Linked DNA regions of Elephas maximus indicus. The protein of the gene in region 1 purifies or fractionates together with the protein of each later gene. This does not show direct contact. Links are inferred from orthologs where the notes say so. Each region holds a gene or a part of one and is shown in the gene's direction. Other genes may lie near its edges.

The links. The genes of interacting proteins can lie anywhere in the genome.
Region 2: the proteins of FBXW8 (region 1) and CCDC8 purify together in Homo sapiens (affinity purification with mass spectrometry; 3 studies listed by BioGRID and IntAct, with this or other methods). This does not show direct contact. The link is inferred for Elephas maximus indicus from reciprocal best matches to the Homo sapiens genes FBXW8 and CCDC8.

Annotation. Positions count from the first base shown.
Region 1 is NC_064840.1:14,593,051-14,600,377, forward strand, and holds the start of FBXW8 (F-box/WD repeat-containing protein 8), read left to right. Parts: upstream 1-4,322; 5' UTR 4,323-4,394; coding exon 4,395-4,712; intron 4,713-7,327. UniProt on the Homo sapiens protein: Substrate-recognition component of the Cul7-RING(FBXW8) ubiquitin ligase complex, which mediates the ubiquitination and subsequent proteasomal degradation of target proteins.
Region 2 is NC_064829.1:103,275,539-103,283,259, forward strand, and holds the start of CCDC8 (coiled-coil domain-containing protein 8), read left to right. Parts: upstream 1-4,704; 5' UTR 4,705-5,412; coding exon 5,413-6,888; 3' UTR 6,889-7,721. UniProt on the Homo sapiens protein: Core component of the 3M complex, a complex required to regulate microtubule dynamics and genome integrity. It is unclear how the 3M complex regulates microtubules, it could act by controlling the level of a microtubule stabilizer.

The DNA of each region.
Region 1 (7,327 bases):
TCGAGGGCCAAGAGGCCAAGGAACTAGGAATCAGAAGCTGAAGAGACAAGGCACGCAGAAAGCTAAGTTGCTTCAGTCTCAAAGGGTATGGCCTCGACCCCTGGGGCCTCAAAGGGTGGAGCCATGGCCTCTGGAGTTTCTAAGGATGAAGTCTTCACTCAGATGGGCTAGGAGAATGATGTGCTTAAAGCCAAGGGAACAGAGTTGCCATTCCAGTGGGTCTGAAAGTTGGAGCTAAAGCCCAGGGCCCAGGGGCCTCCACCCAGAATTTGGAGAACGTGGCCAACACCCAGAGTCTGGAAGGCATGGCCATTGTGTAAATGGTCTCAAAGAACAGAGGATTATTTTCAAGCCTGGAGGGCTAATACAATGTGTTCTGCTGACTTGCTTGGTGCCTGTTATGCCTTCTTTCCCTCCAATTTCTCCCATTTGTAATGGAAATGTCTAACTTGTGCCTAGTGTGCCATTGTGCTTTGGAAGCAGATAACTTGTATTCTAGATTTCACAGATGAAGAGGAATTTTTGAACGTTGGACTTGGAGTTGATTTAAGACTTGCTACAGGCTGAATGTGTTTTATATGTGGCAAGGACATGAATTTTTGAGGGCCAAAGGGTGGAATGGCATGGATTGAATTGTGTCCCCCGAAAATACGTGTATCAGTTTGGCTAGGCCATGATTCTCAGTCTTGTCTGATTGTCATCATTTTGTCATCTGTTGCGATTTTCCTGTGCTGTAAATCCTATCTCTATGATGTTAATGAGATGGGATTAGTGGCAGTTGTGTTGATGAGGCAGGACTCAATCTACAGGATAAGATTGTGTCTTAAGCCAATATCTTTTGAGATATAAAAGAGAGAAGTGAGCAGAGAGACATGGGGGACCTCATACCACCAAGAAAGAAGCACTGGGAGCATAGTGCATCTTTTGGACCTGGGGTTCCTGTGCTGAGCAGCTCCTTGACCAGGAGAAGATTTATGACAAGGGCCTTGCCCCAGAGCCAACGGAGAAAGAAAGCCTTCCCCTGGAGCTGGCACCCTGATTTCGGACTTTTAACCTCCTAAACTGTGAGAGAATAAATTTCTCTTTGGTAAAGCCTTCCACTTGTGGTATTTTTGTTATAGAAGCGCTAGATAACTAAGACAATTGTCTTGCTTCTGCACTAGTTTTTAAAAATTTTATTGGGCTTTAGGTGAAAATTTACAGTGCAAATTAGTTTCTCATTCAGAAACTTATACACAAATTGTTTTGTGACATCAGTTGCGATCCCTGCAATGTGTCAGCACTCTCCCCCTTTTCCTTTACACACCAGGGTCTCCATGTCCATTCGTCCAGGTTTCCTGCCCCTTCCTGCCTTCTCGCCTTTGCTTTTGGGCAGGTGTTGCCCGTTTGATCTCGTATACTTGATTGAACCAAGAAGCACATTCCTCATGGGTATTACTGTTTGTTTTATAGGCCTGTCTTATCCTTGGCTGAAAGTAGACTTCAGGAGGGGCTTCAGTTCTGAGTTAGCAGGGTATATGGTGGCCAGAGTCTCAGGGGTTCCTCCAGTCTCTGTCAGACCAGTAAGTCCGGTCTTTTTTTTTTTTTTTTTTCCTGTGAATTTGAATTTTGTTCTACACTTTTCTCCTTCTTTGTCCAGGACTCTCTATTGTGATCACTGTCAGAGCAGTGGGTGGTGGTAGACAGCACCATCTAGTTCTTGTGGGCTCAGGCTGGTGGAGGCTATGGCCCATGTGGTCCGTGAGTCCTTTGGACTAATATTTTCCTCCTGTCTTTGCTTTTCTTCATTCTCCTTTGCTCTAGACAGGATGGGACCTATAGTTGTATCTTAAAAGGCCGCTGGCAAGCTTTTAAGACACCAGATGCTACCCTCCAAAATAGGATGTAGAGCATTTTCCTTATGAACTATGTTATGCCAATTGACCTAAATGTCCCCCAGGATCATAGTCCCCAGCCCTCAGCAACTCGGTCCCTCAAGGTGTTTGGATGTATCTAGAAGCTTTTATGGCTTTGCCTTGTTCGAGTTGTGCTGACTTCCCCTATATTGTGTGTTGTCTTTCCCTTCACCAAAATTAACACTTGTTTACTATCTAGTTAGTGATTTCCCCTCTCCACTTACTCCCTCCCTTATAACCATCAAAGTGTTTTTTGGTCAATTGTCCACTTTATGGCCACTTGCAAACTTTTAAGACCCCAGGCACTATGCAATGAACTAGGAGATAGAACAGAAACACTAAATGTGTTATTAGACCGGTTAACTGGGATGCCCCGTGAAGCTATAACCCTAAACCTCCACACCAAGGAACCAAATCCCATGAGGTGTTGGGTTGTACATATGCAGGTCAGCAGCTACTCTTCACAATAGCCAAAAGGTGGAAACAACCTAAATGCCCATTAACAGATGAATGAATAAACAAAATATGGTATATGTATATGATTGAGTGGTACTCAGCCAGTAGGAGAAATAAAGTCTTAATACACGCTACAGTACGGATGGAACTTGAAGACATTATGCTGAGTAAAATAAACCAGTCACAAAAGGAAAATATTGTATGACCTCACTTATATATAAGGACAAGAAAATGTAAATGTATAGAGACCGCCCCCCAAAAAGGTCGTTTTTTATCTGTGTATAAACCTTTTCTTGAGTTTTTATAATAGTGGTCTCATACAATATTTGTCCTTTTGTGATTGACTCAGCATAATGCCTTCTAGATTCATCACGTTATGTTTTGAGGATTCATCATTGTTCTTTATTGTTGGGTACTGTTCCATTGTGTGTAGGTACCATAATTTGTTTATCCATTCATCTATTGATGGGCACTTAGGTTGTTTCCAACTTTTTGCTATTGTGAATAATACTACAATGAACATGGGTATGCACATGTGTATTTGTGTGATGGCTCTTATTTCTCTAGGATATATTCCTAGGAGTAGGATTGCTGGATCATATGGTATTTCTATTTATAGCTTTTTAAGGAGGCATCATATTGGTTTCCATAGTGGTTATAACATTTTATATTCCCACCAGCAATGCATAAGAGTTCTAATCTCCTTGCAACCTCTCCAACATTTTTTATATTTTGTTTTTTTAATTAGTATCAGTAATGTCAGGGTGAGATGGTATCTCACTGTAAATTTGATTTGTATTTCTTTGATGGCTAGTGATCTTGAGCATTTCCTGAAGTGTTGTGTTAGCCCCTGAATGTTTTCCTTGGTGAAGTGTCCACATCCTTCACCCATTTTTTAACTGGATTGTCTTTTTGTTGCAGTGTTGAAATATTTTATAGATGTTAGAGATTAGACCCTTGTCAGATTTGTGGCCAAAAATTTTTCCCAGTCCATAGGTTCTAGTTTTATTTATTTTGTTGTTGAAAAATATACATAGCAAAACATACACCAAATTCAAGTTTCTACATGTACTATTTAGTGACATTGGTTACATTTTTCAAGTTGTGCAGCTATTCTTACCCTTCTTTTCTGAGTTGTTCCTCCTCCTTTAACATAAACTTACGGCACCCTTAGCAAGGGCAGATTATCCAATTTTTTTTTAAGGTAAGCTTACCAGATCATCTGTCGTGAACAATTTCGCATGGGTTTTACCATATTGTGCTTACTTGTCTACTGGATAATACGCCCCTCCCCCTTAGGTTCCTATCTAATCCTTAGAGTTGCAGTTATCAGTTTGATCCCTTAACAGAGAACAATGCTCAAGGCAGACATTCTTTACTAATTTAGCTAAAATATTGTTTGGTTTTAATACTTCAGGGGTTATTTTTGATTTAAAGTTTAAAGATTATCTCAGGGCTATAGTTTCAGGGGTTCATCCAGCCTCCGTGGATCCGGAAAGTCTGGAGTCCATGAGAATTTAAAATTCTTTTCTGTATACATGACCCTGTTTTATTTTCTTCATAATAGCTACGACTGATTCAAACGTTCATATTCATTTGTTTAGTTGTTTAATGCCTCCCCATACTTGAATGCAAACACCTAGAGAAGAATATTTTTCAGAATTAATTGCTAAATCCCCAGTGCCTGGCATATAGTAGTTGCTCAATACACGTTTGTTGAATGAAGAAGGAGGGCTTGGTGTAAAGCCAACCTTTGGCAAATGCCCCTTTCACAGACTGGAAAACAGAAGAGCTGGGAGGCCGGTCGCTGGGGCTCCAGCCCAGCTAAGTCTTGGGCGCTGCTAGCCCTGCGGTCACGTGGGCCAGGGCCCTGCAAGAGGGGCTCCGGGTGGGGAGGGGCACGGAGGGGGCGGGGCCGCCCACCCGGAACTGGAGAGTCGCAGGGGCGGTAGTTTCCGGCCGCAGCGGACACTTCCGGAGGAGGCACTGTCCCGTGGCACCTGGCTGGGCGGAGGAAGACGCGGAGAAGCGCGAGCGCCCGCGATGGATAATCACGGACTGGAGGAGTTCCGCCGGCGCTGGCAGGAGGAGCTGGCGCAGGCCCAGGCGCTGAAGAAGCGGCGGCGGCCCGAGACTGCCGAGCGGCGGCCACGGCGGCCCGAGTTAGTTCCCGGGCGCGGCGAGCAGGCCTCGGGGTACCTGGCACTGGCCCAGGGCCTCCTGGAGGGCGCGGGGCGACCCCCGGCAGCGCGGGCCACCCAGGCTGAGAGGCAGGACGCGGCGAGTCGTTCTCGCTCCCCTCAGGGCCGCGAGGACACCGAGGGAGGGGACCAGCTGTTGGACCAGCTCATTCGCGACCTGGTGAGTGACCGTCGCCTCCTGCCGAGTCCTGGGCTGGTCCCGTCCCTGGGACAAATCCCGCAATGGGTTGGAAAGTAACTCTGTGTGTGTCATCAATTATAGGACAAAATGAGGAGGAGTACACAGACGTTTGTGCTTTTATAAAGTATACTGGAAACAGTGGTTCTCTACTGGGGGCTGTTTTGTTCAGCAGATTTGGCAGTGTCTGGACTTCGGGTAGCGCAGTGGTTAAGAGCTCGGCTGTTAACCGAAAGGTTGGCAGTTCGAATCCACCAGCCGCTTCATGGGAACCCTATGGGGCGGTTTTACTCTGTCTTACAGGGTCACAGTGAGTCGGAATCGACTGCAGTGGGTTTTTGGTTTGGTTTGGAGACATTTGTGGTGGTTACAACTGTTTGGCGGGGAGCAGGGGAGGAGATGGTGCTAAATATCCTACAATGCACAGGACAGCTCCCCAGGACAAAACATGATTAGGCCCAAAATGCAGTAGGCCTGAGGTTGAGAAACTGTGCTGAAGAATACCCAAACTATTAACAACTGTTGCCATTGGGAAGGAGACCAAGACAAGGATGGGAAGGAATGTTAACTTTTCTGGGTATACTGTTTGTGCTGTAGGGTCACTGTGAGTTGGAATTGACTTGAGGGCAACGGGTTTGGTTTATGGTTTTATATACATTAAAAAAAATTAAAGTGAAAAAAAATAAGAATCCCATGGACGCTATCATTAGGATAAGGGTTCTTACGTTTTAGAAGGACATGGATCCCTTGGAAAATCTGGAGGAAGCTAGAGACCCTTCTCCATGAAAAAAACCATATGCACAGGTTGGGAGGATCAAGATCAAGTGAAACACATGCATGGAATTCAGGTTAGGAGTCAGAACAAGACAGCAAGTTTTAGTAGGTTAACTTAAACCAGGCTTAAAGGAGGACTCGATGGCAAAGGGAAAGGGCATAGCTTCCCCAGCAAGCTAAACCCGCTGCTGTTGAGTTGATTCTGATTTGTAGTGATCCTATAGGACAGAGTAGAGCTGCCCCATTGGTTTTCCAACGCTGTAAATCTTCACCGAGGCAGACTGCTACATATTTCTTCTCCAGAGTGGCTGGTGGGTTCGAACTGGTGACCTTTCAATTAGCAGCTGAGTGCTTTTAACCATGGCGCCACCAGGGTGCCTCCTTATAAAGCAGTAATAATTTTTTTTTAAATTTTGGTGAAAATATACACACCAAAACATTCGTCAATATGACAAGTAATAACACTGAATTTACAATTCAGTGACATTGATTGCATTTTTCATGTTGTGCCACCATTTTCGCTATCTTTTTCCAAATATTTCATCACCGTTAACATAAACCCAGTTCTCCCCACAAAAAACTCCGTCTTTTTCCCTGCCTCTCATCCCTGTTCCCATTAATAATCTTTGGTGTCTATATGTTTGCTTGTTTTACATAAGTGAGACCATATGATATTTGTCTTTTTGTGGCTGACTTATTTCACTCAGCATCACGTTTTCAAGGTTCATCCATGCTGTGGCATGATCAGGCATTTATTTCTCTTTTTGGCTGTGTAATATTCCATTATATATATCTGTAGATGCCACATTTTGTTTTTCCATTTATGTCCATGATGTTGGACATTTTGGTTGTTTCACAATTTGCTTATTGTGAAAAATGCTGCAGAGAATGTTGGTGTACAGGTTCCTGTTTGTGTTCCAGCCTTCATGTCTTCTGGGTATGTCTTAAGACTGAAATTGCTGGGTCATATGATAGTTCTTTTTTTTTTTTTTTGAACATTTTATTGTGATTTGGTTGAAGGTTTACACAGCAGATTAGTTTCCCATGCAACAATTTACACACATTTTGTTTCATGACATTAGTTGCAATCGCGTCAACGTGACAGCACTCTACTCCCTTCCTCCCTGAGTTCTACGCTTCCATTTGCCCATCTTTCCTGCCCCTTTCTGTCTTCTGAACTTTGGTTTTGGGCAAATGCTGCCCTTTGATCTCATATAGTTGATTGTTCTGAGGAGCACATTCCTCGTGGGTGTTATTGTTTACTTTATAGGCCTATTGTTTGGCTGAAAGACTATCTCTGGGAGTTTGTTGTGTTCCAGGTTTGAAGGGTGTCTAAGAGCCATAGTCTTGGGGGTTACACCAGTCTCTATCAGAGCAGTAAGTCTGGTCTTTTTTATGAATTTGAATTTTTCTCCCACTCTGTCCAGGACCTTCTATTATGAGCCTGCTCAGAGCAGTTGATAGGGGTAGCCAGGCACCATCTACTTCTGATCTCAGGCTAGTGGAGGCTGTGGTTCAAGTGGTCTGTTAGTCCTTTGGACTAATTGTTGCCTTCACTCTTTGATTTTCTTTTCTTTGCTCCAGACAGGAAGAGACCAATAGCTGTATCTTAGATGGCCATTTGCAAGCTTTTAAGACCCCAGACATTATTTACTAAAGTAGGATATGGAACATCTTCTTTATGGATTAGATTATGCCGGTTGAGCTAGATCTCCCCCGAGTCAATGGTCTCAGCCCTCAAGCCCAGTGATGCAGTACTTGAAGGTGTTTAGTTATGGCTAAGAAGATTTCCTCCCAAGCATCTGTCAGTTTGTCATATCTTG
Region 2 (7,721 bases), on another chromosome or scaffold:
AGTGTCAGAGGCTCCAATCCACGCAGAGACACCTCAGAAGAAAGGCCTGGCAATGTACTCTTGAAAAATCAGCCATTGGGAAGCCTATGGAGCACAGTTCTACTCTGACGCACACGGGGTCTCCAGGAATCAACTCAGTGGTAGCTGGGTTGCTACAGGCCAAGCCCTGTTCTAGGTACTGGAGATACATACAGTAGAGAACAAATGAGTTTGCATTCTAGCGTGTGGTGGGAGAGAGTCAGACACAAAAGTAAAGCAAAAATAAAGAAAATCATTTCTGACTGTGTTGTGCTAGGAAATAAAGTAGGAGAATAGGATGTAGGAGGGGGTCTTCACTTGGAGTGCCTGGACCTCTTGGGTCTGTGAATCTGAATGGGAAAAATAAAATCACGGCTTTATATTCACAGACCTTTGAGACAGACCATTGCCTTCCATTATGAACATAAGCAACGAGCCCCAGTAGGGTTAGAAGAGCCTGCAACTTTGTCACTGCTGGAAATCACAGCTGTCTTCGTGTGGCTCTTTTAGTTGCTGCGAAACCTCGAAGCACTTCCTCAAAACCTAGACTTGCTGCTAAATCTTTATGTGATGTGGTAATAACAAGCACCATTTCATGAATTTGTTATTTCTTGAATATTTTCATAACTGTAGGGAACAGTCTGTGCTTCAATGGGTCCGTGGCACTGAGAAGGTTAAGAATTCCTGGGATGGGAGGGTCACTCCTGTAAAATGGGAAGGATTCAGAAGGGCCTCTCAGAGAGGTGACCTTTGAGCAGAGGCCTGAATAAGGAGAGAGAGGTTGACAAGAGAAGGTCAGGGGACAGCAAGTACCAAGGCCCTGCAGCAGGAACAGACTGGTTGGGCTGGAATGGAGTGAGAGAGGGGAAGAGGGGAGGAGAGGAGGACAGAGAAGGAAGGAGTGTGAGGGATTTGTAGGGCTTTGTGGGCCATGGTGAGGACTTGGGTTCTATTCTGAGTGAAATGGAGGATTTTAAAAAGATAGAGACAGTGCCGAGTTATTTTTTGAAAGATCCCTCCAGCTGCAGACAAATGGAGAAAATATTGAAGTTGGCAAGGATTTCATTTTACCCGGCTCCACAATCAATGCCTATGGAAACAGCAGTCAAGAAATCAAACCACGTATTGCTCTAAGGTGCACCTGACCCACCAAAAAACCAAACCCACTGCCATCGAGTCGATTCTGACTCATAACAACCCCATAGGTTTTCCAAGGCTGTAAATCTCTATGGAAGCAGACTGCCACATCTTTCTCCCTTGGAACCTCTGGTGGTTTGAAACTGCTGGCCTTTCACTTAGCAGTTGATCACTTTAACCACTATGCCACCAAGGTGCCTGACCTAAGCCACGGTATTTTCAGTCACTTCATACGCATGCGAAAGCTGGGCAATGCATAAGGAAGACCAAAGAATTGACACCTTCCAATTACGGTGTTGATGAAGAATATTGAATATACCATGGACTGCCAGAATAGGAAACCCTGGTGGCGTAGTGCTTAAGAGCTACAGCTGCTAACCAAAGGGTCGGCAGTTCGAATCCACCAGGCGCTCCTTGGAAACTCTATGGGGCAGTTCTACCCTGTCCTATAGGGTCGCTATGAGTCGGAATTGACTCCATGGCACTGGGTCTGGCCAGAAGAATTAACCATGAGGTTGGCAGTTCCAATCCACCAGGAGCTCCTTGGAAATCCTACGGGGGAGTTCTACTCTGTCCTATAGGGTCACTGTGAGTCGGATTCGACTTAGCGGCAATGGGTTGGGTTGGTTGGTTGCCAGAAGAATGAACAAACCTGTCTCGGAAGAAGTACAGCCAGAATGCTTCTTAGAAGCAAGGATGGCAAGACTTCATCTCACGTACTTTGGACATGTTATCAGGAGGCACGAGTCCCTGGAGAGGAACATCATGCTTGGTAGAGGGTCAGTGAAAAAGACAAAGACCCTCGAGGGGACAGATTGATGCAGTGGCTACAACAACGGGCTCAAACATAGCAACAATTGTGAGGATGGTGCAGGACTGGGCAGTGTTTCATTCTGTTGTACGTAGGGTCGCTATGATTCGGAACGACTCCATGGCACCTAACAACAACCAGCTGCTGGAGAGTCCCTGAGTGGCGCAAACAGTTAAACACTCAACTACTAGCCAAAAAAGTTGGCGGTTTGAAACCACCCTGTCACCCCTCAGGGGACAGGCTGGGTGATCTTCCGAAAGGTCACAGCCTTGAAAACCCTATGGAGCAGTTAGTTCTATCCTGCACACATGGCGTAGCCATGAGTTGAAATCAACTAGTTGGCGACTAGCAACAACAACACTGCTGAATTGAGGGTGGATTGTAGGCAGCAAGGAGAAAGCTGGGAGGCAGTGAGGAGGCACTTGCAGGGATTCAACAAGAAAAAAGGGTAGCTAACATGCTTTTTTTTTTTTAACATGCGGTGACTCTTGGGTTAAACCACCCAGCACTTTAATTGGGGAGGAGGGATTCAGCTATGTCCTGACTCCTGACCCCTGTTTTCTATAGAGCCTGCCTGGGTCTATTACTCAAGTACCTAAGATCTGGTTCAAATATCAGGCCCTCCAGTTAGTTTCCCCATCAACCAGAAGATGCTAGTGAGGGCACCCACCTTGCTGTGTAGCTCTAAGGATTCACAATAGGTCCATTCAGCCCATTCATGATGCCTGGACCCAGGGAAATGCTCAATGCCAATGCAAGTTAACTGTTATTATCTTCCTAATGATGTTGTTGGGCTTTTGTTGCTGAGCCGGTAGCCTTTTTCTGACCCTAAGCCCCAGGGATCCTGACCCACTATGTCTGTGGTGAAGCCTGAGAACCTTCACTTTTATCTCATTTCTTTTAGTTAATATTCTTGGTTGCCAAAAATCCAAGCAATCCTAAAGGGTGTCGAGTGAAGGGTACATGCCTCTCCCACCTCAGGGGCTCCCAGGCCCTCTCCCCGGTAACAGCCACTTTAGGCTGTGCTCCCTGGTGGTGCAGTGGTTAAGTGCTACGGCTGCTAACTAAAAGGTCTGCAGTTCAAATTCACCAGCCCCTCGTTCGAAACCCTATGGGGGCAGTTCTACTGTCTTATAGGGTCCCTATGAGTCAGAATCGACTTGATGGCAATGGGTTTGGTTTTTTAGTTTTATACCTGTGACTAGCACAAGTGCATGTCTCGACTATTTGTTCTACACACACAGAGTCAGACTGTTTTGGGTTCAAATCTAGCCTCAGTCACTTCCTGTTTGTGTAACCTCAAAAAGGTGATTTTACTTCTTTGGGCCTCAGTTTCCTTAGCTGTAAAATGGGAATGATAATTGTATTACCTGTCTCGTTGTTACAGTGAGGATCTAATGAATTAATTCACAGAAAGCACTTAAAGTGGGATCTAAAAAACCAAACCAAACCCACTGCCATCGAGTCGATTCCGACTCACAGTGACCCTATAGGACAGAGTAGAACTGCCTCATAGGGTTTCCCAGGCTGTAAACCTTTATGCAAGCAGACTGCCACATCTTTCTCCCACAAAATGGTGCCTAGTATATAGTAAAGTAAAACTTGTAAAAGCTGGCACCTGGGTAAGGTGGAAACCTGTCAGAGAAGGAAAACCAGAGATAAAAAAAAAAACAAAACAGAAAAACAAGGCAGTCTCGTCAAGTTTCAGCTCTCATAGGTTTCACTGTATATAGTATGTAGGTCTCAAACACAGCAATGATTGTGAGGATGGAGTAGAACCTGGCACGGTTTCATTCCGTTATATATAAAGTCTATATGAGTCGGAACCAACTCAAAGGCACCTAACAACAATAGTATATAGGAAAAATGGTCCCTGGGTGGCACAAATGGTTTGTGCTGGACTGTTAACCTAAAGGTTGGTGGTTCAAACCCACCCAGAGGCAAGACAAGCCTGGAGGTCTGCTTCCAAAAGGCCACAGCCTTGAAAATCCTATGGAGCACAGTTCTACTCTGCACACATGGGTTTGCCATGAGTCAGAACCGACTCAATGATAACCAGCAATACCACCACCACCCATCTGTCAGTGGAGACTTGCATGTCGCTATGATGCTGATCAGGTTTAAGCATTCAGACTACAACGGACTAGGAAGAAAGGCCGGTCCATCTTCTTCTGAAAATCAGCCAACGAAAACCCTGCGGACCACAGCAGTCTGATCTGCAGTCCATCACGGGGATGGTGCAGACCAGGGAGCATTTCATTTGTGAATGAGGTCGCCACGAATCTGGCCCATTCTAGGGCAGCTAAACGACAACCACCAGTTTTTTTACCCACATGCATGAATGGGTATGGGGTAGGAATTGCTGGTACCACGAGTCGCGTGCATTTAAAATGTTAATACATAGCGTCAGTGACCTTCAAAAGGGCTGTCCCATTAGCACACCCACCTAGGGGGCTGAGGGTGGGGGACTTGGCCAGAACGGGTATATCTACGATGGCAGGTTTGGGAACTGGCTGCCATTCGGGAAAGGTGCTGACGTGGGCCTCCGCGCTCTTTTCACTTGGAGGCGGGTGGCCCCAACTAGGCCTGGGGCGCGGCCACACCCCTGTGGGGGAGGGGAGAGAGGCCTCCTTAAAGGGAGTGGACAGCCCCCCTGTCAGTCTTCCCGAGTCGGGGAGTGTAAACTGAGAAGGGAGAAGGTGGGCCTCACCCCGGGGAGCGCGAGGAGGAACTTCCTGCCTGTGCGCTCCACCGCACTGGGCGCGCGCCGCGTCAAGGTCAGTCTTGGAGGGGTGGCAGCCTGCCTGGGGGCGGGAGACCCTCCGGGGGGGCCGGGCCGCAGTCTCCCAGCGCCTCGGCCATATTGAATAGCCCCGGCTGAGCCGTCTTTGTCTGGGAAGCGGTCTCGCAAGTTCCAGCCGCCCCTTTGGTGCCTGGGGCAAGACGAACCACCGTGCACTCCAACTTGGAGCAGCTTTCCAGCTTTGCGCGGGCTTGAAGCCTCGGGACAGATTCCTCGCCAGCTCACGTAAGCGTCGTGGGACTTCATTTCCACCAGCCTTTTTTGGGGGGAGCAGACTTGGCCAAGGCCGGCCTGGTGGCAGACAAAGTGGGAGGAGGTGGCTCGTCCCTGGCTGGGGAGGTGAGACCTTCCGGGCAGCATTGTTGGGACTCCCCACCTAAGGCTACAGACTGCGTGACGTTGGGGTCCTTAGCCCCACATTCCGGATTTCACCCTGGAGATCTTAAAGACCCTCGAGAAAAGCCACGTGGGGGGCTGGTTCCCCTGGGGCTTCCTGCCGTCGCCGGACTGCCTAATCCTATGGAGCGTCCCCGACGTCTGCAAGGATGTGGACTTGGATGTCCTCGTGGAAGCCTTGAAGCCCGTGGGGACCTTTAAGAAGATCGGCAAGGTATTCCGCAGGGAGGAAGACTCTACGGTGGGGATGCTGCAGATTGGGGAGGATGTCGACTATCTGCTCATCCCCCGGGAGGTCCGGCTGGCGGGCGGTGTCTGGAGGGTCATCTCCAAGCCCGCCACCAAGGAGGCGGAATTTCGTGAGCGGCTGACCCAGTTCCTGGAGGAAGAGGGCCGCACCCTGGAGGATGTGGCCCGCATCATCGAGAAGAGCACCCCGCACCCGCCCCAGCCCCTCAAAAAGCCCAAGGAGCCCCGAGTGCGGAGGAGAATTCAGCAGATGGTGACGCCTCCGCCCCGTCTGGTCGTTGGCACGTATGACAGCAGCAACGCCAGTGACAGCGAATTCAGCGACTTTGAGACCTCCAGGGACAAGGGCGGCCACGGCTCGGGCCGGGCCCGGAGGGTTCGAAAAATGCCGGTCAGTTACCTGGGCAGCAAGTTCCTGGGAAGCGACCAGGAGAGCGGGGACGACGAGGAGCTGGTGGAGGCCTTCCTGCGGCGCGGGGAGAAGAAACCTAGCGCGGCCCCTGCCCGCCGCCGGGTGGCGCTGCCCGTGCCAGTGGCCGAGGACGACCCGCCCCAGCTCTCCAAGGCCGACAGGTGGCGCGAGTATGCCAGCCAGGTGTCCTGGGGGAAGCTGAAGCGCAGAGTGAAGAGCTGGGCGCCCAGGTCTTTGCCGGGCGTGGGCGATACCCAGCAGCCCGTGTCCAGGATGGAGAGTGACAGGGCGTCAGGGCCAGGCTGCGCCAGCCGGGGGGAGAACGCGGGAAACACAGGAGATGGGCGGCAAGCCGGGACCCTCCCACGACGGTGGCGGCCCAAGATCAGCTGGGGTTCGTTGAGGCGACGCCGGAGGGAGGAGGTAGCATCCATAGCTCAGGGGGCAGAGGTGCTGGGTGACCAGAGGATAGAGGTCCCAGTTGACCGGAGAGCAGAGGTCCCAGCTGACCAGGTGGCAGAGGCCATAGCTGACCAGAGGGTAGAGATCCCAGTTGGCCAGGGGGCAGAGGTCCCAGGTGACCAGGGGGCAGAGGTCCCAGGTGACCAGGGGGCAGAGGTCCCAGGTGACCAGGGGGCAGGGGTCCTGGGTGACCAGAGGGCAGAGGTTGAAGCTGACCAGGTGGCAGAGGCTGCAGCTGACCAGAGGGCAGAGGTCGCACCTGACCAGAGGGCAGAGGCCGCAGCTGACCAGGTGGCAGAGGTTGCAGCTGACCAGGTTGCAGAGGCTGCAGCTGACCAGGCGGCGGAGGCCCCAGATATCCAGGGGGCCCCAGGGGCAACCCCAGGAGCCAGAGCCCGGAAACAGGTCAAGACAGTGAGGTTCCAGACCCCTGGACGTTTTTCATGGTTTCGCAAGTCACGGAGAGCCTTCTGGCACACACCCAGGCTGCCAACCCTCCCCAAGAGAGTCCCCAGGGCAGGCGAGGCCAGGAGCCTCAGAATGCTGAGGGCCGAGGGCAGAGCAGAAGCGGAGCAGGGAGATCAAGAAGACCAGCTGTGAGGGCGAGGGCGGGGGCCCTGTGGAGCACCCCTTGCCACATTCTGCATTATCAGCCACTTGGGCATGTCCTTACCCCTCCCAGACCTGGACTGAGATGGTTTCACTCTCTGCTTCTGCACCTGAAAATCCAAGGGACAGAGAGAGAGGGGGCGAGACAACGCCTCCATATTTCCACCTGACAACCTTCTTCCTTTTTCTGTTAAAATTTTCTCTCTCGTGTATTAATTTTTTTATACCCACTCCTTATAGCAACTCAAGGAATGTAATGAGAAAAATCGATACAGCGGGGTTGCAGCCAGGTACTTTTAATTCCCTAGGTGCTCATTTTAAAAAGGGGAGCGAGACGGGGCAAAATTCATGGCTTCTCCCCTTTCGCTGGGTGATTGACATTTGCTGTCTCTTTGAACTTCAAAAGAGGGCTCAAGCTGACCTGCAAGTGAAAACATTAAAAAAAAAAAAACTTAGATTTTGGCTTTGGACTTGACAACTGAAGAATGCTCGAGGGCTATTTGGTCATGTGCCCTCACTGTCCCCCCCACTCCCATCCTCAATGGTAATGACCATGGTTACTTTGGTCCCCTGGGCTCTGCTGGTTTGAAGGGTGCAGGGCCCATGGTTTATGCCCTTCAACCTGTCCTTGGCTGTGAGGTTGGGGGCCATAAGTGTGCATACAAATCACCTGGGGAATGTGTTCAAAATGCACATTCCTGAACCCTTCACACCACAGATATGAATTTGCTAGTGTGGCCCAGGAATCTATTTTGATCCAGCTCTTATGGGCTTTACCCAGGGCAGCTCGCACACTTGCCATTCACTGGCCGTGTGGAAGAGAC